4 linked regions of the Rattus norvegicus genome follow. The protein of the gene in region 1 interacts with the protein of each later gene in a pairwise test. Links are inferred from orthologs where the notes say so. Each region holds a gene or a part of one and is shown in the gene's direction. Other genes may lie near its edges.

Region 1 (5,003 bases):
CCCTGCAGTACCTGTGACCCCTCCCACCTCTCCCTGCAGTACCTGTGGCCCCTCCCACCTCTCCCTGCAGTACCTGTGACCCCTCCCACCTCTCCCTGCGGTACCTGTGACCCCTCCCACCTCTCCCTGCGGTACCTGTGACCCCTCCCACCTCTCCTTGCGGTACCTGTGGCCCCTCCCACCTCTCCCTGCAGTACCTGTGGCCCCTCCCACCTCTCCCTGCATCTCTCAGTACCTGTGGTGTCTCCCAGCACTTCTCACTCCGCCTAAACCTCTCCCTACCCTAAACCTCTTCAGCTCAGCATCTGGGCTTCCCTTCCCGCAGCTTCTGATTCCTCTACAACTCAGCTGTTTTGGCTACCTGCGCTCTTGGTTCTGCTCTTGGCTCCTCTCCTGGACCTCTCTTTGTCTCTTTGCCCCCTCTCCCCTTTCCTCGCTTTCTCTTCCTCTGATGATCTCCTCCACACCTCTCATGGCCCTATTCAGTTTGCTGGCCATGCTCAGTCTGGACCCTTGCAGATGCCTCTGACTGTCTCTCCCGCACATCTACAATAAAACCTTCTTCTCAACCATACCTAGGAGCGGTGTGTCCTCGTGCTCCTTCATTGTGCAGCCTGTGACCTGGTTAGTCACTTAGGTCTGTGACTTGAGTCTATAAAATGAGGCTCACAACACCGCCTCCCCGCCAAGAGCAGCTGTGAGCTCTTGTATAGAATACCTACGCTATCAGTATAGAATGCCTACGCAGGGCAGAGCCAGGTCCCAGGAAGGGCCCTGTGTTAACTGTGACAAGCCGGCTCAACAAGCAGACTAGTAGGTGATGGCAGTTGATGGAGGTAATCTGAAAACTACAGCAGGGAGGGGCTCGGTCAGTCAGCATGGGAGCAGATCTCTCAGGCAACGCTTGAGCTCTAAGATGGCTGTGTGTTCAGGAAAACGGAACCTCAAGGGTGTAGCAGCCAGGAGCAAGGGTGGGGCTCTCGTGGGAACCCCATAGCGTACAGCAAAAAAAGGTATCTCATTCCAAACGGTGGAAAGGTTGGAGTGGAGGAGTCACATGGTCAGATTCACACACTGCTTGCTATTTCAAGAACTGCCTGCAGGGGGCAGGAGTGACACAGAAGACCTGTGGCTAAGACCCTGGAGCAGGGGAAGGAACTGGGAGGGGTGGGCAGCTCAAAGCGGTGACTGATAGTGTCTCTCTATGCAGGGGCTGCTTGGCGTTCTCAGGCTCCTATGCTTGGGGCAACTTCACTATCCTGGCCCTGGGTGTGTGGGCTGTGGCCCAGCGGGACTCTGTTGATGCCATTGGCATGGTGAGTTGGCGGTGGGGAGGTGGCTCCATCCGTGGGCCCCTCATCTGCCCCAGTCTTCTCTCTTCCTCACACCCCATCTTTTTCTGTTCTAAAGCCCTGCACACGGCAAGCCTAGCCAGGCCAGCTACACAGCGACCCACCTCTGCTGTTGTCCCCCCAAGACAGACATGGGGGGAGGTCACAGAACCCCAGTGTCTCCTTAGGAGAATTACAAAGGGGTTTGTTTCCCTTGTTTTCTTGCAGCGAGACCAGATGTTATGGGCTCCAAGGAAGTGTCCCTCTCAGAAATTCTGGAGATAGGCCCCTCATGATCTCAATGGCAGGAGATGGGGGTGGGGAATTATGGGGCAACAGGTTAGAGCCAGACTCTTGTGTCCATGCTCCTAGACCATGCAGGTGTCAGTCACAAGATGCCGGTCACCAGCCTGGTGTGTGTGAGGGAAACTTGGGGTCTGGTTGGGTGTCAGTGTCCGTGATCCTGTGATGGTGTTCCTTGCAGTTTCTTGGTGGCTTGGTTGCCACCATCTTCCTGGACATTATCTACATTAGCATCTTCTACTCAAGCGTTGCCGTTGGGGACACTGGCCGCTTCAGTGCCGGCATGGCCATCTTCAGCTTGCTGCTGAAGCCCTTCTCCTGCTGCCTCGTCTACCACATGCACCGGGAGCGAGGGGGTGAGCTCCCGCTCCGCTCGGGTAAGTCCCACTCCACCCCGCCTGCCCCCGGCCCAGCCACCAGTCTGGTGTGACTTCTTCCTGTTGTCAGGCAGACTTGGTGGCCCTCCCTCAGTCCAGAGTACAAGTGGAGGCGTGGAGTTGCTCAGCTCGCTGTGGCAGCAAGGAGCCTCTGCTGCGGGGCTGCAGATGGCTGTGGGGACAACTCCTTCCTCCTGTTTCCACCCAGCCCTGCCTCTGGAGGTGTGCGCTCCTGCCATGTGGGGCGTACCCTTTCTGAGCAGGCAGGCCAGGGAGCCCTGTGTACCAGCCTTCTAGACTCTGGCTCAGCCCACGCTGTCCTCTTTGGTGGCGGGCCAAGCCATTTTCCTGCCCTCTCTGACCCTGCTCTCCTGTGGGAGCTGGGTGTGGTCTCCAGGTGACCTGAGGATCCCATGAGAGAGTGCTGAGCCAGTGCCAGAGTGGCCTACGGCTGCCCATTCTGGTTTATCTCTGTGCTCACCTAGACCTGCCCGGGTGTGAAGGGATCAGACAGGAGAAGGAAGGTCCACTGCTCCTGGGACTTGTCCATGGTCTCAGGGCAAATATACAGAGGGAGAAATGTGAGAGACACAGGTGCCTTCTGTCCTGCTCTGTACTCTCAGCCCCAGCCTTCTGGGTACAGCAACTGTGTCAGGCCCTGTGGCTTCTAGAAATGGTGATTTATATGGGTCCTAGCGCCTGGCAGACAGCAGGAAGAAAGTCTGTGGGCTCAGGACTGACCCCCTCCTCAGGTACCTGAGCGTGTGCTTCCGGGGCAGATGTGACACAGTAGCCATTGACCACAGGAGCTGCTGTTTAGGTTGGACCCCAGTGTCATCTGCTTCATGCCACAGGGTCTTAAATCAGCCGGTCTCTCTGACCCTCGCATTTCTCTCATCTGCAGAGCCACCCATACCGATGCTAGGCTTGAGTGGACGCTGCTTGGTAAAGGCCTGGTGTCTGGGCTTCTGCCACTGCCCATTGTCCTTGGTATCATGATGCCAAACACTAGCCATGGCAGATGGTGGATCTGTCTGTGCTTAGCAGAAGGCCCCATGGTCTCATTTTCTCTATCCACTTGTTCCCTGTCCTCTAGATTTCTTCGGACCTTCTCAGGAACATAGTGCCTACCAGACAATTGACTCGTCAGACTCACCTGCAGACCCCCTTGCAAGCCTGGAGAACAAGGGCCAAGCTGCCCCCCGGGGGTACTGAAGCTGTCCCTGGCCGTCCTGGGGCCCAGCAGGATGCTTGTCACCTTCTTTACTGGACCTACAATGGGGTATCCTCCATTCCCTGCCACAGAGGTGGCCTGAGTCATGTGCCCTCGGAGGTCCCAGCTGAGAAGAGCCCAGTCCTAATTCTCCATGCTGCCCCTCCATTCAAGACACCTGTTAACCCCTGGGCTAGAACTGTGGTTGGTTTCTTCCCCTCCTCCCCATCACTATAACACACAACCGCCGAGCTGTGCAGAGTGTTCAGGGCCATCCAGGCCTTATGGGCCAATGATCACTGCCTCTCAGGCTACCCCAAGGTGACCCAGCCCTTCTGGAAGCTCTGTGAGCTTGTGGTCCTGCTCAGCCTGTTCTGCACAGGAGCCAAGTCCCTGTGCCTCTCAGTGCCTCATGACAGTGCCTGAGAACCCCAGGCCCAGATGCAGTAGGTCTGTCTGCAGAGGAGCCCTGACATTAAAATGCAGGGCCTCTGGGCCTGCACTAGGTTCCAGCCATGTTTGTGCTCCGAGCTGGGACCCACCCTGCCGTCTGGGTGTGACTTCGCCCTAGACTCAGTTGCAGGTGGAACATAGTTTCAGCCACCCATTATATCAGCCAAATGGGGTGGCAGAGGAAGTGCTGGTCGGTGTGGCATGTAGACAGACATCTATCCTCTGATTCTAAGTGACTAATTTCACTGCCTCTGATCCTGAACCATGAGGCAGGGCATGGGTGGCTTCCTCTAGCCTCTGCGTTCTGACCACAGTCGACTGCCTCCTGAGGTGCCAGCGCTCCCACTCTTACTCACCGGCAGACGTCTGGGGACAGATACTTGAAGACTTATGGGGAGCCGCAGGCTGAGGTGAGAGTCCTGAAAGCACTCTCTGCACACGAGACAGGCCGGGAGGCTGAGTGACAGCATCATTGGTGGGGTCACTGCGTCCATCTGCTGCGTCAAACACAATCCCATGCAATCAGCACCTAACCCAGACCTGGTTGGCATCCACACTGAGCCCAGTGTGAGCAGAGTGAGGAGCGGTAGCTGTGATTTGTTTAGGCTGAGTGCAGCACAGTGTAAACAAGAGCTGGGGCCCAGAGACTCAGAGGCTTAGAGGCTCAGCCGCAGGTAAAGGAGTCTTCTACTGAGCGTCACGATGTGTGTTTGGTCCTTGGAACCGACTTGCGAAAGTTATCCTCTGACCTCCACACTCTTTGTCATGGTTTGAGGTTTTACACACACATACAAACACACCACAAACAGATAAATGTAAAAACAAACCCAGAATATTAAAAACGTGCCTGGTGGGTGGTTAATGCCAGCACTTGGGAGGCAGAGGCAGGTGAATCTCCGAGTTAAGGCCAGCCTGGCCTACAGAGCGAGTTCCAGGACAGCTGGGGCTGTTTCATAGCTCTGGGACACGTGTCAAGTTCAAGACTGCAGAGGCCTGAGGAGAAGGGAGCACGTGGCCTGAGGCAAAGAAGACAAGAAGCCCAAGATGTTTTCTCGTGTTTCTGGAAGGGTTCTTGTCGGAAGGAAGGCCTGGGGGCTGGGGATTTAGCTCAGTGGTAGAGCGCTTACCTAGGAAGCGCAAGGCCGTGGGTTCGGTCCCCAGCTCCGAAAAAAAAGAACCAAAAAAAAAAAAAAAAAAGGTGTGCGGAAGGAAGGCCTGGAGTATCAGTGCCTGTGTCTCTTGGATAGGCCATGGTTGCAGAGACTTAATAAGGTGAGGGAGGGCTTGGCCTACGTAGCTAAGACAGGTCACAGATCTTAGGGAAGG
Region 2 (5,679 bases), on another chromosome or scaffold:
AAAACAGTGTCTAGTACAGATGTGGAAACACATATTCTGGTTATAAGAAATATTTAGAAGCAGAGAGATGAGTTCAGACAATGCGAAGAACAGAAAGACCAAGACAGCTGTAGTGTGGCTGAGGAGGCACAGTGGGTGGCTGAGGTTATAGAAACTGGGTTCTGAGATAGGAATTTGTCACTTAAAAGTGTAATATGTGATGATGATTTACAATTTGGAGAGAGAAAGAATGTTAAAGGTTGTTAGAAAGCTGATGCAAAGGATTTTTATGTCAGAGACACGGCAGAAGTATGACAATTAGGAATCAGTGTCTAAATATATTGTAGATAGGATTCTGAGGATGCTAAAGGGTTGGAGAAAGTACGGCAAAAAGGAAAGCATCAAGGAAGTAGACTAGTTGAATCTGAATAAATGAAATGATAGAACTGCCATTTAGTGGGGCAGTAAAAGTAAGCTAAGGTAATAGAAACGGGGAAATGACTTTAGGGGAGAGGAGAATACAGGAGGGGAGGGGAGGGGAGCTCTATTTTGGACACAATGATGTGATGCTATTGCTAAAATTTTCAATATAAGTCAGAGTCATAATTTTACAGAACTTAATCAAAATGCTGGGAAGAAAGAAGTCTCTCCTAATTTGTTTTTATTCTTTCATACAAAACATTCTAATTGCAGCCTCTTCTCCCTCCCCACCTCCCCCAGATCCACACTGCTCCTCGGTTTCCCTTCAAAAAAAGTAGGCTTCAACCGAACACAATCTCTCATATCAAGGTTAGACAAGGCAACCCAGAGGGGTAAAAGGGCCCCAAGAGTGAAAGAATCAGAAACGCCGCTATTCCACTGTTAGGAGTTCCACAAAAACCCCAAGCTAAACAACCACAACATATATGCAGAGGATCAACGCAGGTTCCGTGATAGCCAATAAAGTCTCTGTGGGGCCCTCCATAAACCCTGATTAGTTGATTAGGTGGGCCGTGTTCTTGTGGTGTCCTGGACCCCTATGCCTCCTACAGTCATTCCCCACCCCCCTTCCACAGGCTTCTCCGAGCTTCCTCTACTGCTTGGGTCTCTGCAAGCTCAGTTGTGAAAATACACTGAAAAGCAACAAGTACGTACTTTCAATAAAGCTCAATGACAGGTAAGCGGTGTGTATTTGGGGGACACAAATTCAGAAAGCGTATTCCGCACGCAATACGCTTCTCTGGACGCGAATTAACTGCACTTAGTTCAATAGTGCACAACTAGGAAATCTACACTGAACCGCTTTTACTGTTAAAAAACTGAAGTTGGGACTGAGCGACCTGTACTTCACTTCCTGGCTTTCAGAAGTTGACGGATGCCGGCCCGCCTAGCACCGATGTGATGCGGGTCGCTCTCTGCCAGAGTTGGATCTGCACTTACGTGAGGAAACACTCGGGTCGGTTGGTGGCTTTTCTGACTTCCCTCAGACACCGTTCAAGGGTCTGTCGACGAAACACGCGGGGCGCCATAGCTATACACTACGGCGCCACACGAGGGCTGGGAACCGGCCGGAAGTCGTACCGCAAACACTTGCCTCAAGCAACCTGCAGCTCAGAGCCTAAGGTTCCGCCACACACAGGTTCCGGCCCCTAGCAGCAAACGCTTCTATTGGGCATGCGTAGGGGTGGAGCCGACCACCGAAAAGGGCTATTGGTCATCTCAAGCGTCTTGGCTCTTTCTCCAAATGTTTTGTATTTCTAAGAGAACCGCAGTGGTGTCGCGTGGTCGCTTTCTGCTTTTGCATTCGATACAATAAGTATTTTAATGTAACGGAAAAGAAGGTCACCCTATGCGGCGTCCGCCACTGCCCCGTTTTTCCCACCCTCTGTAGCCGTCAGTCAAGCTCCGAGTCTTGTTACCCCGCCCCAGGCCCCAGGCCCCGCCCCTTGCTCTCTTTCCGCCCCCATCCCCAACCCCCTTCAGCCGTCTAGCTCTCTAAAGGGTATTGGGGCACTGCCTTCGAGCCCCACCCTTGTCCTGTTTTCCACGCCCACCTCAGGCCCCGCCCCCTGCCCACTCTCCTAGTTGTCTTTGCCCGGGGTCGCTGTGCAAGCTTGTAGCTTCAGGAGATGAGGCTGGTAGTGAAGGCCGCTGCGTTGGCTGCAGGCGCTACAGGTGAATACCGGGCACCATCAGGGGCGCCGGGTGCGGGGCACGGGAGGCTGCGGGAGGCCAAGGCCTGGGTCTGAAGTGTTGGGCTCCTGGAGCTGCGCTCCTTTTAGCACGGGAGTTCCTTATTGTCCTTCTCTGTGCTCAAGGGTTGCCCTTGGCAAACATGGACCAGACAGGTAATCTGCCTAAGAACACAGGCAAGGCAGGACTTGCAATAAAGCTGGAGGAGACTCGAGTTATTAAATGCCTCCTCTAAGAGATAGGAGAAAAGGGCAAAGTGGCAAGTCCTGAAAGTCTCAGTCCAAGCCAGTTTTATACACGTACCACACTCAATTTTTTCATCTGACATGAGCAGGAAAGGAGCAAGCAGAAGGATTTGTAAGTTCCTTGAGTTCTTTCGACCTCCATCTCATTAATCAAGAAGCAGAATCTTGGTGACAAATGCCCAACTTTTCTGCCTGTCTCACTTTCTCTTCCATTTTCTTCCCTTTCTGCATGGTGGCAGTTACTGCCCTCCGTCTGAGATTTTCAACTTGAAAGAAAGTGTAAGGCAGTATCATTCCAGAGTTCCTGTTACATTTGCGACAAATCCATTAGCCTGGAAAGTTCTGTCTGCTCCTCTATTGAAACTAGTCATCTTTCAAAGTCTGCTCTCAAACTGAATTTGGTTTTTGTGGAACCCTCCAGCCTTTCCAGCCAATCACAAAATTCCCTGTCTGCCCTAACAAACAAGGCCCCAAGGCAAAATCATGAGCCACAAGCCAAAAAATAAAAAAAGCCAACCCCCCCAAAACAACATAACACCTTAGTACAACTGTGTGTATGTATGTTTATAAGAAAGAAAATATCGTAGTGAAAGCCAGAGCACAAAAGTGGAAATGATTTTCTTTTTTTTTTTTTTTCTCTCTTTTCTTTTTTTCAGAGCTGGGGACCGAACCAAGGGCCTTGCGCTTGCTAGGCAAGTGCTCTACCACTGAGCTAAATCCCCAACCCCTATGATTTTCTGATTAACAGTTAATGCTGAAGTTTTGCTAGCACTCCCTGTTGTCATAGTTTTCTATATGATCAAATAGATCAAATAGAAGCCACCTTCTTAGCTCACCCATCATACGTCGTTATTATCTACTATAGCAGAATCACCCATTTTCCCTTATCAAGCTCTCTCTTAGAAATTAGGCCCTGCTTGTCAGACATATTACTAATGGTATTAAACATTGAGAATCTGGGCTGAGACTAGCAGAGATGCTAGAGTGCTTTCCCAATGCACACAAAGCCTGGGTTCATTCCCACATGAACCAGCAGGGCGGCGCACACCTGTAATCTCAGCACTTGGGAAGTAGACACGGGATCAGAAAGTTCAGATCCATCCTCAGGCACAACCGCGTCTGAGGGCCACCCAAGATTCATGAGACGATCTCAGAGTAACATAAGATTCTTTTTAATTGAGAAGAAAGGGGCCGCAAAAGATTCTGGGTATAGTTTCATGGAGCAATACTGGTCAAGCATATGCAAGGCCGTAAGTTCGATTCCCAGCATGGAAGAAAAAGGAAAGGAAGAGCGCCGTAGAGGAATGAGCTGAAATAATAGTTTCTCAACATCAACTCTGATGTCTGACAGACCCGGGCTCAAGGCCCTGCTTTGCCGCTTAAAGTGATGTTGAGGAAAAGAACCTAGTCTCTAGAGGCCTAATTCCACATTATCCAACCCACAGGGTCACAGTAAAGATTAAATAACACAGGTATTCAGGGTGCCTGTATCATTATCTTTATTTTGTGGCCACGTAGACTAAAAGGCAAAGCCAGGCTATGGTACCGTGCCCCTCCCCCACCTTGGCATTTGTGCTTTTGCAATGTAGTTTGGAAGGACAATGGCTATGACAAGGTTTCATAATGATTGATGTGTAAGTATAGAGGTGAAGTAAAACCATAGGTCTGTACTAGGGAAAGGGTAGAATCCAACATGAGTCTTCCAATTCTGTCCTTTGCTGCTGCTGAATCGTAGTGGTTGGGAAAACATTGGGGGGGGGGTTTCTATAACTGAGGCATAGAGTAACTGAGCAGTGGGTAGGAGGAGCTAGCTGGTTTATAGATTGCTCAAAAGTAGATTTATTGTTTAGTCTCCATTTCTGTAGACTAGGAAAGGTCCCCGTGTGATAAAATGGTCATAAGTCATATATGTGAGTCACAACAGTTTTGTCGTGAGGCTGGAGACCAAACGCAAAGCTTTCTCATGCTAAGCAAGTGCTCTGTCGCTGAGCTATCCACCCTGTCAGAGCCGGAGGGTTATAAGCAGCAGCTTTTAACTCCAAAACTGTAATGTGTGTCCCTTTAGCAAAAAGCAAACACAGAGGTGAACTCCATCAACATGTCAGAAGTCAGAAAATACTTGAACACCTTCAGCCATTTCTAAAACCGTACCCCTCAGGATACATCTTCCAAAAGGAAAAGACCAGTTAGGGACTGGTGGGAAGTGCCTGGGATCTTAGAAGTTTGGGAGGTGGAGGTAAGAGGACATGTGGCCTGCCACTGGAGCGAGGTCCCAGGGTGACACCCTCAGAGAAAAATAGCAGTCCCTCTCCTCCCCGCTATCAGTCACCAATACTCGTCAGCCAGAGGAGGGACTTCATGCCCACCCACCTTGCTTTCCATGTTGGGATCTTGTCTGGATTGACTTCTTTGCAGGTCTTTTGTACGCTGTCCTGAGGAATTGACATGTGAGGCTGCACTGCCGTATTCTTTGTAGTCATCCACTGCTTCTGGCTTTTACACTCCCCCCACCCCCCACAGTAATCCCTGAGAAGGTGATGTGATATATATAATATATATGCTCTATGTAGGACTGAGCAGTACCTTTACTTTCTGTACCTTGATGACTTTCAAGTCTGTGTTAAACAACATCTACTTAAACAGAAGCTTCTCTGATGAGGGTTGAGAGGTGGACTAATGTATGGGTATAATAATAAGTCATTAAAAGTGACTTTAACACTAAGCCCATTTAGCAGACTAATAGTAGTAGGGCCTATGACCTATCTAGCCACAGTTTTATTCATTGATAATGGTGTCGGGTATGGGCTGAACTTATGGAGTGGCGCTTTAAACCCAATCAGAACGCTGTTGGTTACTCTCACGATATTTCCGCCCCTCTTGCATCAGTGGGCGTATCTTATCAAGGTGGTGAGTGTGCCTGCCAGAGTTCACACTTAGGTAAGATGTGAAGATTACCTTCCTCCTCCAGTGGTGTGCATAGCACCTTCCAGCGTATGAAAGATAGCCAGCACTGATGAAGCTCTCAGTGAAAACCAGCTTCAGTTTCCCATGCCCTGCGCCTTAAGTATGTGGTATAATCAGCAACAGGAGTTCTGGAGGGTAACTAGTAGCATTGGCAATAGCTCACAGTTTGGGGAATCTATGGTATTTATTGGGCCAACAGTTCCAAAAGGGACAATCCATTCTTGGCACTAGGCTTTTTTGTTTATTATCCTATGTATCAAGTAAATGCATCGTTGCCCCATCATAGGGCAATTCCAATTAAGTTATATCATATACATAT
Region 3 (5,003 bases), on another chromosome or scaffold:
TAGATGTCTTCCTCAATCTTTTTTTTTTTTTTTTTTTTTTTTTTTTGAGACCTGGTTTCTCACTGAACCTAGAATTGATTTGGCTGAACTGTCTGACCAGCAAGCCCCAGCCCACAGCGTATGCATGTGCTATTGTGAGCAGCTTTTTCATGGATACTGGACCAAGCTCAGTATTTTACCAACTCGTCCACCTCCTCAGCCCCCTTTTCCTGCCCGGTCTTTTGAGACAGGATCTTACTGTGTAAGGCTGACCTCAACTCCTGATCCTCCCTCCTCTGCCCACTGAGTGTAGAGTTTACAGGCATAGACCACCTCTTCCTGCATGCCATCCTCTTTTAAATTGCCCTCAATTTCAGGGAAGATTTTAGGTGGCAAAGAAAATGCAGCCATTCTTACATAGTAGTATCATTGCCCTGTCTGAACCTAACAAGTATAATCCAGTGTCTGCATTTCTCCTCAGTCTGGTCTTGCCAGCACCTGTCAATCTCTCCTACTGCAGCATTGTAGAGTGTCTCTTTGACCTAAATCTGCATTTTTTTTCATATTCTTCCTCAGACTAGTTCCAACATTGCAAGAGCCACAGAGAGGTTGGTCACAGCAGCAAGCCCACTTTTCTAGCATTTGATTTTCATGTTAGTTTCCTTCCACTGCTGCTAAAATGCCTGACACAAATGCTGTAAGGGAGGAAGGGTTTATTTTAGCTCACAGTTTTAGAGAAGTCAGTCTGTCATGCTGAGAAAAGCATTAGAATGACACGCTTTGTTTATGGCAGTTCAGGAAGCAGAGACAGGGCAGTGTCAGGATTCCCAAGGCCAGTTTTGTTTAGAGATTAATAAATCCTAATTTTAAAATTAAAAAAAAAGTTTGAAACAGTTTCATTTAGCCCAGGGTAGACTCAAACTCATTATGTAGCCTTGAACTACTTACTGGTCTTCCTGCCTCCACTTCCCTGGGTTCTGGGATTACAGATGTGCTCCACTATTAACAGGTTAATAAATGTTACTTGTGGAACTAGCATGAACCACGTGTAACAGCAGAACTCTGTAAATCTGTAATGGTATCCTCCGCAGGTATTCAAAAGGAAAAGCTGACACAGAGAAGGTGGTGGGACTCCGATTTGAAAAGGACGGTGTAAGTAGGAGCCCTGTAAATGTTAGGTTCGCCTTGTCACCTTTTCACCGGACTGACATTCGATGCCACAGGAAACAAGGAAGTGGCCCCAACTGTCCTAGAACTAGCTCTGTAGACCAGGCTGGCCTCAAACTCATGACCTCTCCCTCCCAAGTACTGAGACTAAAGGTGTGTGCCACCACTACCCAGTCTACTTAGTGTAAGTATTAGAATCAGAGTTTCAGTGTCTCTGTAGGGCATGTTCAGGTTTTTAATGTTATTTTGTTAAACATTTAATATCTGGCAGAAATCCAGTCCATCTCTACCCCCATGGTCTTACTATGCAGCCTTACTATATAGACCAGACTGGCCTCAAACTTGTAGAGATCCACCTGCCTCTGCCTCCTGCTTGATTGATTTAATTAATTTATTAATTGACCTTCTGCTGGGATTATAGGTGTACACTGCCACACCCCATGCAGAAATATATTCCTTAATTAAATGCAACTGAAACTTTTGTTACTTATATTTTTATTTATATAGAATTATAAAAATGGTCGTAAAACATTCCCTTATTTAATTAATGTTCTCTGTTTCCAGCGATTCCAGATGGACTGCTTTATGTTTAATTGTCATTTATCTTCCTTTTAGTCAAAACAGAATGCTCATAATCTTAGCAGTCAGGGAGAACCAAATCTAGACAGTTAAGCCAGTCTAAACAACAAAGTGAGAGCTAGTCTTTTTATAAAACAAGGAAAGAGTGGATGGGAACTACCAGGCAGTCAGAAAGAATGAAGAAAGCTCACTGGTGTCTTGAGACTCCATAGCTCCACTCCAAAGTTCTGTTTTAAGTACATTTCCTAACAAACTCGTAAGGTGTTGACTTCGTGTGTACAGGCAAGCTCCACTGAGCTCCATTCTGTTCCCATCTCCAGTCCTCGTAGAGGCTTTCACTGAGAATGCACGGTTTAATCAGCGGCCATGGGAGATAACCTCCTGTTCAGCACATCGTCTACTACAGTGCTAGCATGAGATAGAGGGTAGATACAGCTCAGAGGGAGTGTCTGCCTAGCATGTTAAAGGCCTCAGATTCCAACCCTACACAGAAAAAGGAATACATAAGTAAAGCAGCTTTAACTAACACAGGATGACTTTAAATAAGAAATAGGTTCTTCGGGACTGGAGAGATGGCTCAGCAGCTAAGAGCACTGGCTGCTCTTCCAGAGATCCTGATTTCAATTCCCAGCAGCTACATGGTAGCTCACAACCATCTGTAATGGGATCCGATGCCCTCTTCTGAAGACAATGACAGTGTATTCACATACATGAAATAAATAAATAAATAAATAAATAAATAAATAAATAAATAAATAAATAAATCTTAAAAAAACAAGTAGATTCTTGTGAGCGATGTTCTTTAGGCCACACCTTGTACCTTTCTAAACTTCATAAACATGTTTTAATTACATTTTAAAATGGGATAGGAACTGAAAATGTTTTCCTTCCTAGTTACAGAGGAATGGTGTTTCTGTTTGTAACTGATATGCCCTGTGGACCTGTGTTTAACTCTGTCTTGTGTTCACCTTAACCAAGGCAGGCAGGAGGCAGGCAGGCAGGAGGCAGGCAGGCGGGAGGCAGGCAGGCAGGCAGGCGGGAGGCAGGCAGGAGGCAGGCAGCAGGCAGGAGGCAGGTGGGAGGCAGCAGGCAGGCAGGCAGGCAGGCAGGCAGGAGGCAGGCAGGCAGGCAGGCGGGAGGCAGGTGGGAGGCAGGCAGGAGGCAGGCAGGCAGGCAGGCAGGCAGGCAGGCAGGCAGCAGGTGGGAGGCAGGCAGGCAGGTAGCAGGCAGGCAGCAGGCAGGAGGCAGGCAGGCTGAGTCTGTTTCACCCTCAGGACAGCTGCTAAATCTCATATTCATTTGTCTCCAAGTTAATGCCAGACTTTTGCTTTTCCTTTTAAATTTTATAAACCTTATAAAAAATCACACACCAAAACTGACTGGATCCCAAGTCTGCCTGTCAGTGGGCTGTGCATTAGGGAAGCTGCTTGGGAGGGAAGCCATGGGGTGTCACGTGGGGTCTTCCCTTTCACTGCCCAGTATGTCTTTCTGCACATCGTCACTACCCAATGTAGAATTCCATGGTGGAGTTAAAACTAGAAAACCGTTAACTTCTTCCATAACTTGTGCAGTGTTTAGTATTCTATGCACTGTTGTATTATATGTACAAAATTAAGCATTGTCAGTGTTGAAACTTTTTTGGTCAGACAAGAGGACACCAGTTGGAGCCTGATCTGTCAGAAGAAGTGTCTGCCCGGCTTCGCCTGGGAAGTGGAAGCAATGGCCTACTCAGAAGGAAAATATCAGTGCTTGAGGCAAAGGAAAAGAACTTCCCAAGCAAAGAGAAGGACAGAAGAACAGAAGATCTCTTTGAACTTACAGAGGTAGAGTTCTTTGTGTGGGTCAGAGTTAGATGACTTTCAGACGAGCCACAGCTCCTCTAAACTGAAGTGCATGCTTTGTTTTGAGAAATGTCTCCAGATAAGTAATAAATATATGAAGTTTAAAAAACACAAAACAAAACAAAACCTCCAGGTCTGCTTATGTTGTCTGTATTGATCATTCCTGGTCTGTGAGGGTGGCCTGGTGAATCAGGTATAACTGGTTTGGGTGGGTTTTTTGGTTGTTGGTTATTTCGGTTATTGGTTGATTTTGCTTTTTTAGGTTTTTTCTGTTTCTGAAACTAGGTCTACGTGGTTACTTAGTCAAGGTTGTTCCGGCATTCATGGCAGTCCTCTTGCTGTGAGCCTCATAGTAGTTAAAATTCTTACTTTAAAAGGGATTCTTCATACTGAATCAAGAACCCGTTGTCCTGGTGTGTGTGGAGGGGTCTCCCTTAGTGTAGATGTCTCTAACGCGTACAGCGCAGAGCACATGAAGTTCCTGTAGCTTCATCTCTCCTGCCTGCCAGGATAATATGCAGAGTCCTGGGGAAAGAGCTTGCAACTGCAGCTCACATGCGCAGGTGTGAGGTCATCTGTCCAGCTGGGCACGGCACACCCACTCGTGGACGCGTGACCTCTTACTTCCTCATACTCAGGCTCTGCTGGCTCAACTAAGACAAACGCCACAGCTGTACCCATAGGGCAACAGATGCAGATAGGCCCTAGCTGTAATTCTTTTCTCTCGTGATTCTAGGTCCTGTCAAGATGAACATAAAAGCTTACCATGTTAGAGGTAGAGAGATCAAACCATACAATAACAAAATTGGGTGAAAATGAGAACAACCATTTTGATTGGGTTCGTAAGCTAAATATACATTTAGCTGCATAAATTATTAAAATAATTCAAGGAGATAGCCATTGTTAAGACTGGTTTGGTTTGGTTTGGTTTTCAATTTTGTTCTCATTTTAGTTTTTTAAGACAGGATTTCTTATATAGCCCTGGCTGTTCTGAAACTCATTCTATAGACCAGGCTGGCCTTGAACTCAAGATCTGCCTGCCGCTGGCTCCCAAGTGCTGGGATTAAAGGCTTGCACTACCACCATCCAACTTCCTAAGACTGTTCTTCAGTTGTAAATTTGAATGTTTTTACACTGCAGTTTCATAGATGTTGAATCGTTATTTTCCTCAAAGATTGTCAGGTGTTGCTGAGATGAAAGGCTTTTTTCAGTCTGAGTCTTTCCATACCTGATAGTGGTTCTGTGCTAATGTAGCATCGTCTAATTCAGGACATGGAAAAGGAAATCAGTAATGCCCTGGGCCATGGTCCTCCAGATGAGATTTTGAGCAGCGCTTTCAAGTTACGAATCACCCGTGGAGATATCCAGACCTTAAAGAACTATCACTGGCTCAATGATGAGGTCAGTCTTCCTCCTTTCCTGTACTGCCTGTCACTC
Region 4 (5,771 bases), on another chromosome or scaffold:
AGTGCCTACCTCCCCGACCCTTCACGGCTTGCCTCCTGCCTCTGGATTTTAGGTGTTGACTTCTGGGCCCTGGATCTTACTTTCTATATCCACCTCACTAAGGGACAGACAGTTCGTCAGGTTATTCCCGTTACAAATGTGAAAAAAAATGGGCTGGGAGAGAAGATGTAATTGCAACTATTTTATCTAACTTCTTCCGAGTCCCCCTCTTGGGGCTCCCTCACCTTTGCTCTCCTGTGACCTAGGAAAAGGATGTGGCTAAAAGGGGCGTTGCTCTATCCTTTTTGTACCCTACCCCCTACCCCTTAGTGTAGGAGCAGCAGAGGCCTCATCTTTTACCTGTATGGTTGTCCAGGGCTCCAGGCTCCCCTTTCCAAACCCTCCCCTCCCTCAGCTTTCCAGCCAGGTTTTGGCCCTTTCTCTGGGGTCCCCACTGCTACAGAGTATCAGGGTCTGTCTCCTACATTTCACCACAATTAAAGAGCAAGATTGCAACCTCCTCTGCCTTCAGAAGTATCTTTCAGGTTTTTCACCCTTGGTGATCGGTGTGGTTGGTGTCTCAGAATTTCTTCCGGGAAATGGAAAGGTGGGTGGATTTGGAACATGGCTTCTAGAGTAGGAACAGGGGATGGTTAGTTTGAGGCCAGCCAAGGAGCCAAGGATACACATGTCTCCAAAACACACAAGTGAATAAGTCCGTACAGTGGCTGCACTAGAGGACCCAAGCTTGATTCCCAGAGTCCATGGGTTGATTCTAGTCCCAGGGAATCCTACATCCTCCTCTCTTCTCCTGGGACACCGGACACACATGTAGTGCACAGCCATACAGACAGACAATACGTCCACACACGTGAAAGAATTTCGAAAAATAAAATAAGTTGGAGCCAGGTAGAGTGGCGCACACCTTTAATTCCAACATTTGAGAAGCATAAGCAGTGGGGAATCCCCGTGAATTTGAGGCCAGCTTGGACTACACAACGAGTTTCAGGCCATCCATCAGGGCTGCTTAGTGAGACATTGATTTAAAAAGGGGTGGGGGGAGGGGAGAAATGGCTCAAAGGTTAAGAGCATTGGCTGCTCTTCCAGAGGACCCTGGTACAATTCCTAGCACCCACATGGCCGTTTGCAACTGTAACTTCAGTTCTAGGTGTCCCAACCCCCTCACAGACATACATGCAGGCAAAACACCAATGCACATTAGAAGAAGAAGAAGAAGAAGAAGAAGAAGAAGAAGAAGAAGAAGAAGAAGAAGAAGAAGAAGAAGAAGAAGAAGAAGAAGAAGAAAAAGAAGAAGAAGAAAAAGAAAAAGAAGAAGAAGAAGAAGAAGAAGTATTAGGAAAAGGGAAAAAAAGTTTAAAAAGATATTTTAAAAGACTGGGCTCGGGTTGGGGATTTAGCTCAGTGGTAGAGCGCTTGCCTAGGAAGCGCAAGGCCCTGGGTTCGGTCCCCAGCTCCGAAAAAAAGAACAAAAAAAAAAAAAAAAAAAAAAAAAAAAAGACTGGGCTGAAAAGAATTAGTAGAGTCTGAGCAGTGAGCAAAGGAGTCCCAGCATTATTGTGGGCTAAGGGCATCGGTCGCTTGATAGGCTCATTGGGGCTTTTCATTTCAGTCGTGGGAAGATGGGAAATGTTCTTGGAGTTCTGCTGGCTAGTGCTGAGGGTCTGACAGGATAAGCTTCTGAGATAAAGTCCCAACTATGACATTGTGCCTGGATGTAGGAAGCCACCAAGACCGACAATTGAACAGGTGGCCGAACCATTGTCATAAGTTGGTTTTTGCAGATGAGTTCTTGAATGCGGCTATCCCAGTCTCCTGACTTCTCCCTTTACCCAGAGCAGTCCAAGGTAGGGAGGTTAGCTCAGCATCTGCACAGCCTCTCAGCTCGCCAGCGTCAGTGGAGGCAGTGCGAGCCAGTCCTGTTGGGGGTGCTGTGGAGACATGGTTGCCGCCAAGCCCACGCGTGCGTCATCGGACAGGGGGCTGGGCCTCCAGAACCCGGAAGCTGGGGACCCACGTGGGAGTCTGGGAGGCGACTGTCTAGGCTCGAGTGTCAGGTCGTGGGCAGTCTTTGAGCGGGGACGAGGTGTGGGAGGCTAACGTGTTCTCCCCAGCAGTCTGTTACAGAGTTCCGGGCGCTGCTGGAGCAATGCTACTCCTCTGGACGGTCGGATGCTTCAATCGCCTCGTTGCCCGCCATTTCTCCTCCGTGGCTCGGCCCGGGGAGCGGCCTGGCGGGGAGGAGCTGAGTCGCTTGCTTCTTGATGACCTGGCGCCAGCCCAGAGGCTGGAACGTCTGTTTGGCGTGTCCCCATGCCTCCTGGCCTTGCGGGCCGCCCGCCGGCACGTGGCCCGGCTCCTGCTCCAGGCCGGTAAGGCTGGACTGCAGGGGGAGCGGGCCGAGCTGCTCCGGGTGGCCGAGGCTCGGGGCATCCCTGTCTTGAGGCCCAGGCGGCAGAAACTGGATGCCTTGTGTGGCTACCAGGTGCACCAGGGCGTGTGCATGGAGGTCAGCCGGCTGCGACCTCGGCCTTGCGATGAGGCGGCAGACACGAGCTCAGGCGACGACCCTCAGCAACTGTGGCTCGTCCTTGAGGGGATCCAGGATCCCCGCAATCTTGGGGCTGTGATGCGCTCCGCTTACTTCCTCGGAGTAGACAGGGTCATCACCAGCCGGAGAAACAGGCACGGACGTCCCTTAACTCTGCCCCTCTCCCGCCACCACCCCCCCCAGCTGGAGGCGGAGCCAAGTTCCTAAGCACCTGGTGGGGATCCCGGGGGTGTATAGGGCGCGGGGCTTGAGATTTCCGGGTTTAACACGGATCGTGGGGAACCTTTGCAGCTGTCCGCTTACTCCAGTAGTCAGCAAGGCCAGCGCTGGGGCCATGGAAGTGATGGACGTGTTCGCCTCTCCTGACCTGGCGAGTTTTTTGCAGGTAAACCTGGGCGAGAGGGGAAGAAGAGGCAATGAGTCTAGCTCGAGCTCTTAAAGCTACCTCCAGGTAGCAGTGGTCTGGGGGTCGGGGAAGAGAAGGGGACGTGGTGGCACTGATTCCTACGACCTTCTAGGTCCCACCGGGAAGGATCCCAAGGCCTTTAAAATAGAGCCTCGTCTGGTTAGAGATTTCCTCGCCTCATTTACTTTATTTACTACACGACTTGGCCACCTGTGTCAGCAAGTCAATGTCTGACACCCATGGGACTTCAGCAGCACTCGAGAGAGCTGGTGGACAGGAGTCGTGGGTATTTGGAATAGAAAGTCAACTTGAAAGCGATTTAAACAAGGCTTTGCAAGGGGCAAGCTTTAGTGTACTTTAGCTGTGTATTTCCTGGATAGACCCTAGGGGGCAGCATTGCCTCGCGTTTGGCCGTCCCTCTGACCTCTGTCCTTCCCCGTCCCCACCCCCATCCCTCAGTGAGAAAATAACCTTGAAAAGAGGCCAAAGAAAGCTGTAATAAACTTATATTCAAACCACGTGTCTAATTTCAGATTTTCCAGTAACCAAGCTGAAAAGTAAAGAGAGCAGGCCTGATGACACGCCTATAATTCCAGGTTTTAGGAGGTGAAGACAGTAAGATCATTCATTGCAAGGCCCTCCTGGGCTACGTGAGACCCAGTCTTAACAAAACAACAACAACAAAGACAAAAAACTAAAAAGAATCATAAATTTATACAATATACCACAAATATTATCTTTAAAACATAACATTTTAAATATTAATGAAAAAAATTTGAGACAGGGTATTGTGTGGCCCAGGCTGGCCTCAAATCCACAGAAATCCTCCTGTGTCAACCTCCTAACAGATGTGTAAACCTCATCTTAAAATGTTTATACATAATACATCTCAATTTGAAATAGTCATATTTCAGTCCCTAATAGTCACGTGTACTAGGACTGGAGAGCTGGCTTAACAGTTCAGAGTGCTGACTACTCTCCCAGAGAACTGAAGCCTGATTCCCAGCACCCACATGGTGGCTCACCACCATCTATAATTCCTCCTTTCAGAGATTTGATGCCCTCTTCTGGCCTCCCTAGGCCTTGGATCTCTTTTAAGTAATTGATTTAATGTTTTTTTTTTTTTCCAAATCTAGTCTCATAGCTTCATTTTCCCCTTGTTTTAGCTCTTTGAGAAAAGGATTGGCTATGTAGCCAACCTCAGACTCACAATTCTCCTGTTTCAGCCTCTCAAGTTCGTGTGTGTGTGTGTGTGTGTGTGTGTGTGTGTGTGTGTGTCAGATTTGGTAGCCAGTGCCTTTATGCCATGAGCCCTTTTGTGGCTTAAGCTCCCATATTCATTCATTCATTCACTTTTGAGACAAGGTTTTTCTATATAGCCTTGACTGTCCTGGAACTCACTCTGTAGATCCGTCTGGCCTGGAACTCACAGGGATCCACCAGTCTCTTTCCCTCTACTCCCACTGTGGGCCTTTCAAATTCCCCATTTCCAAGGCTGACCATCTGTTTTTCTAGGACCTACCCTGCTCAGTTGTTCAGTCAGACATTATCTGATTTGTCTTGATCCCACAGCTATGCCCCCAAATCCTTTCTTACTGTTTCCTCTGCTACTCTCGTCTGAGTTCCCAGCTCCCTGGACAGGGGTTTGGGTCTCGGCATGGCAGACATGATTCTGCTGAGACCCAGGTCAGACTGCATCACTTTGCTCATAACCTTTCAAGCACTAGGTCTGTGAGATCTACTTGTAGTCTCAGTACTTCAGAGACTTAAGACAGGAAGACCACCATGGGTTCAGGGCCAGCCTGGGTTGGTTTTTTTTTTTTTTTTTTTTTTTTTTTTCTTTTTTTCGGAGCTGGGGACCAAACCCAGGGCCTTGTGCTTGCTAGGCAAGCGCTCTACCACTGAGCTAAATCCCCAATCCTGGTTTTTTTTTTTTGTTTTGTTTTGTTTTTTGTTTTTTAAGATTTATTTCATATATGTGAGTACACTGTCACTCTCTTCAGACACCCCAGAAGATGGTTGTGAGACACCATGTGGTTGCTGGGACTTGAACTCAGGACCTCTGGAAGAGCAATCAGTGCTCTTAACCTCTGAGCCATCTCTCCATCCCATGAGCTCATATCTCAAAAAAGCCAGACAACGGCTCAACACTTTTATATCATGATAAAAGCCCTATATTTCCAGTGGCCCTTGAGACCTAACCCTATGTGGCCATTGTCCTATCACTTGCCAACTTAACAGTCCTGAGGTATGACAGGTGGGCGGGGCCTTCATGCCTCCATACTTGTAGATCTCCCTGTCTGGAACCTTCTCCCGCTGTCTACAAGACACTCATTCCTTAGTTATCTTTAGATCTGCTTTCAGCCACACAGCTCGGATTTTATTCTGCGTGCTCTTGGGCAACCTCAGTGCCCAGAGCAGATCCTGGCCGGGTAGAGGTCCTGACTTCCTGACTAAGTTGAAGTCATCTCTCAGTGAATGTGTGTGTGCAAGGCTGGGCTCCTCCTTGACCATGGCTTTGATGAAGATTCAGTGAACCAGCACATGGTTTCCTTCCCTCTTCCAGGCCAAGGCCCAGCAGGGGTGGCTCGTGGTGGGCACGGTGGGCTGCCCAGGTCCTGAGATCTCCCAGTCCTCCAAGGTCCCCGTCACTAGCTGCTTAGAGTTCATCTGGGACCGGCCCACTCTCCTGGTGCTGGGTAGGTAGGCTGTACCTGCTTTGTATTTGTACGTGGACATCTGGCTGGGGCTCGCTAATACTGTCTCATCGTGTTCTGCAGGCAATGAGGGCTCTGGTCTGTCCCAGGGGGTTTTCGC

The links.
Region 2: the proteins of Agtrap (region 1) and Mcee interact in binary tests that used the Homo sapiens proteins (3 or more experiments, as listed by UniProt). The two-hybrid records come from large-scale screens. The link is inferred for Rattus norvegicus from reciprocal best matches to the Homo sapiens genes AGTRAP and MCEE.
Region 3: the proteins of Agtrap (region 1) and Senp2 interact in binary tests that used the Homo sapiens proteins (3 or more experiments, as listed by UniProt). The two-hybrid records come from large-scale screens. The link is inferred for Rattus norvegicus from reciprocal best matches to the Homo sapiens genes AGTRAP and SENP2.
Region 4: the proteins of Agtrap (region 1) and Mrm1 interact in binary tests that used the Homo sapiens proteins (3 or more experiments, as listed by UniProt). The two-hybrid records come from large-scale screens. The link is inferred for Rattus norvegicus from reciprocal best matches to the Homo sapiens genes AGTRAP and MRM1.

Annotation. Positions count from the first base shown.
Region 1 is NC_086023.1:163,791,727-163,796,729, reverse strand, and holds the end of Agtrap (type-1 angiotensin II receptor-associated protein), read left to right. Parts: intron 1-1,210; coding exon 1,211-1,316; intron 1,317-1,815; coding exon 1,816-2,011; intron 2,012-3,107; coding exon 3,108-3,226; 3' UTR 3,227-4,874; downstream 4,875-5,003. UniProt on the Homo sapiens protein: Appears to be a negative regulator of type-1 angiotensin II receptor-mediated signaling by regulating receptor internalization as well as mechanism of receptor desensitization such as phosphorylation.
Region 2 is NC_086019.1:127,374,396-127,380,074, forward strand, and holds the start of Mcee (methylmalonyl-CoA epimerase, mitochondrial), read left to right. Parts: upstream 1-1,957; 5' UTR 1,958-2,087; coding exon 2,088-2,133; intron 2,134-5,679. Other genes in the region: Mphosph10 (U3 small nucleolar ribonucleoprotein protein MPP10), read right to left, coding at 1,399-1,487. UniProt on the Homo sapiens protein: Methylmalonyl-CoA epimerase involved in propionyl-CoA metabolism.
Region 3 is NC_086029.1:92,497,946-92,502,948, reverse strand, and holds part of Senp2 (sentrin-specific protease 2), read left to right. Parts: intron 1-1,070; coding exon 1,071-1,131; intron 1,132-3,371; coding exon 3,372-3,548; intron 3,549-4,820; coding exon of another isoform or gene 4,821-4,835; coding exon 4,836-4,967; intron 4,968-5,003. UniProt on the Homo sapiens protein: Protease that catalyzes two essential functions in the SUMO pathway.
Region 4 is NC_086028.1:70,190,365-70,196,135, reverse strand, and holds the start of Mrm1 (rRNA methyltransferase 1, mitochondrial), read left to right. Parts: upstream 1-2,004; 5' UTR 2,005-2,146; coding exon 2,147-2,682; intron 2,683-2,839; coding exon 2,840-2,933; intron 2,934-3,066; coding exon of another isoform or gene 3,067-3,102; exon of another isoform or gene 3,103-3,471; intron 3,472-5,520; coding exon 5,521-5,653; intron 5,654-5,734; coding exon 5,735-5,771. UniProt on the Homo sapiens protein: S-adenosyl-L-methionine-dependent 2'-O-ribose methyltransferase that catalyzes the formation of 2'-O-methylguanosine at position 1145 (Gm1145) in the 16S mitochondrial large subunit ribosomal RNA (mtLSU rRNA), a universally conserved modification in the peptidyl transferase domain of the mtLSU rRNA.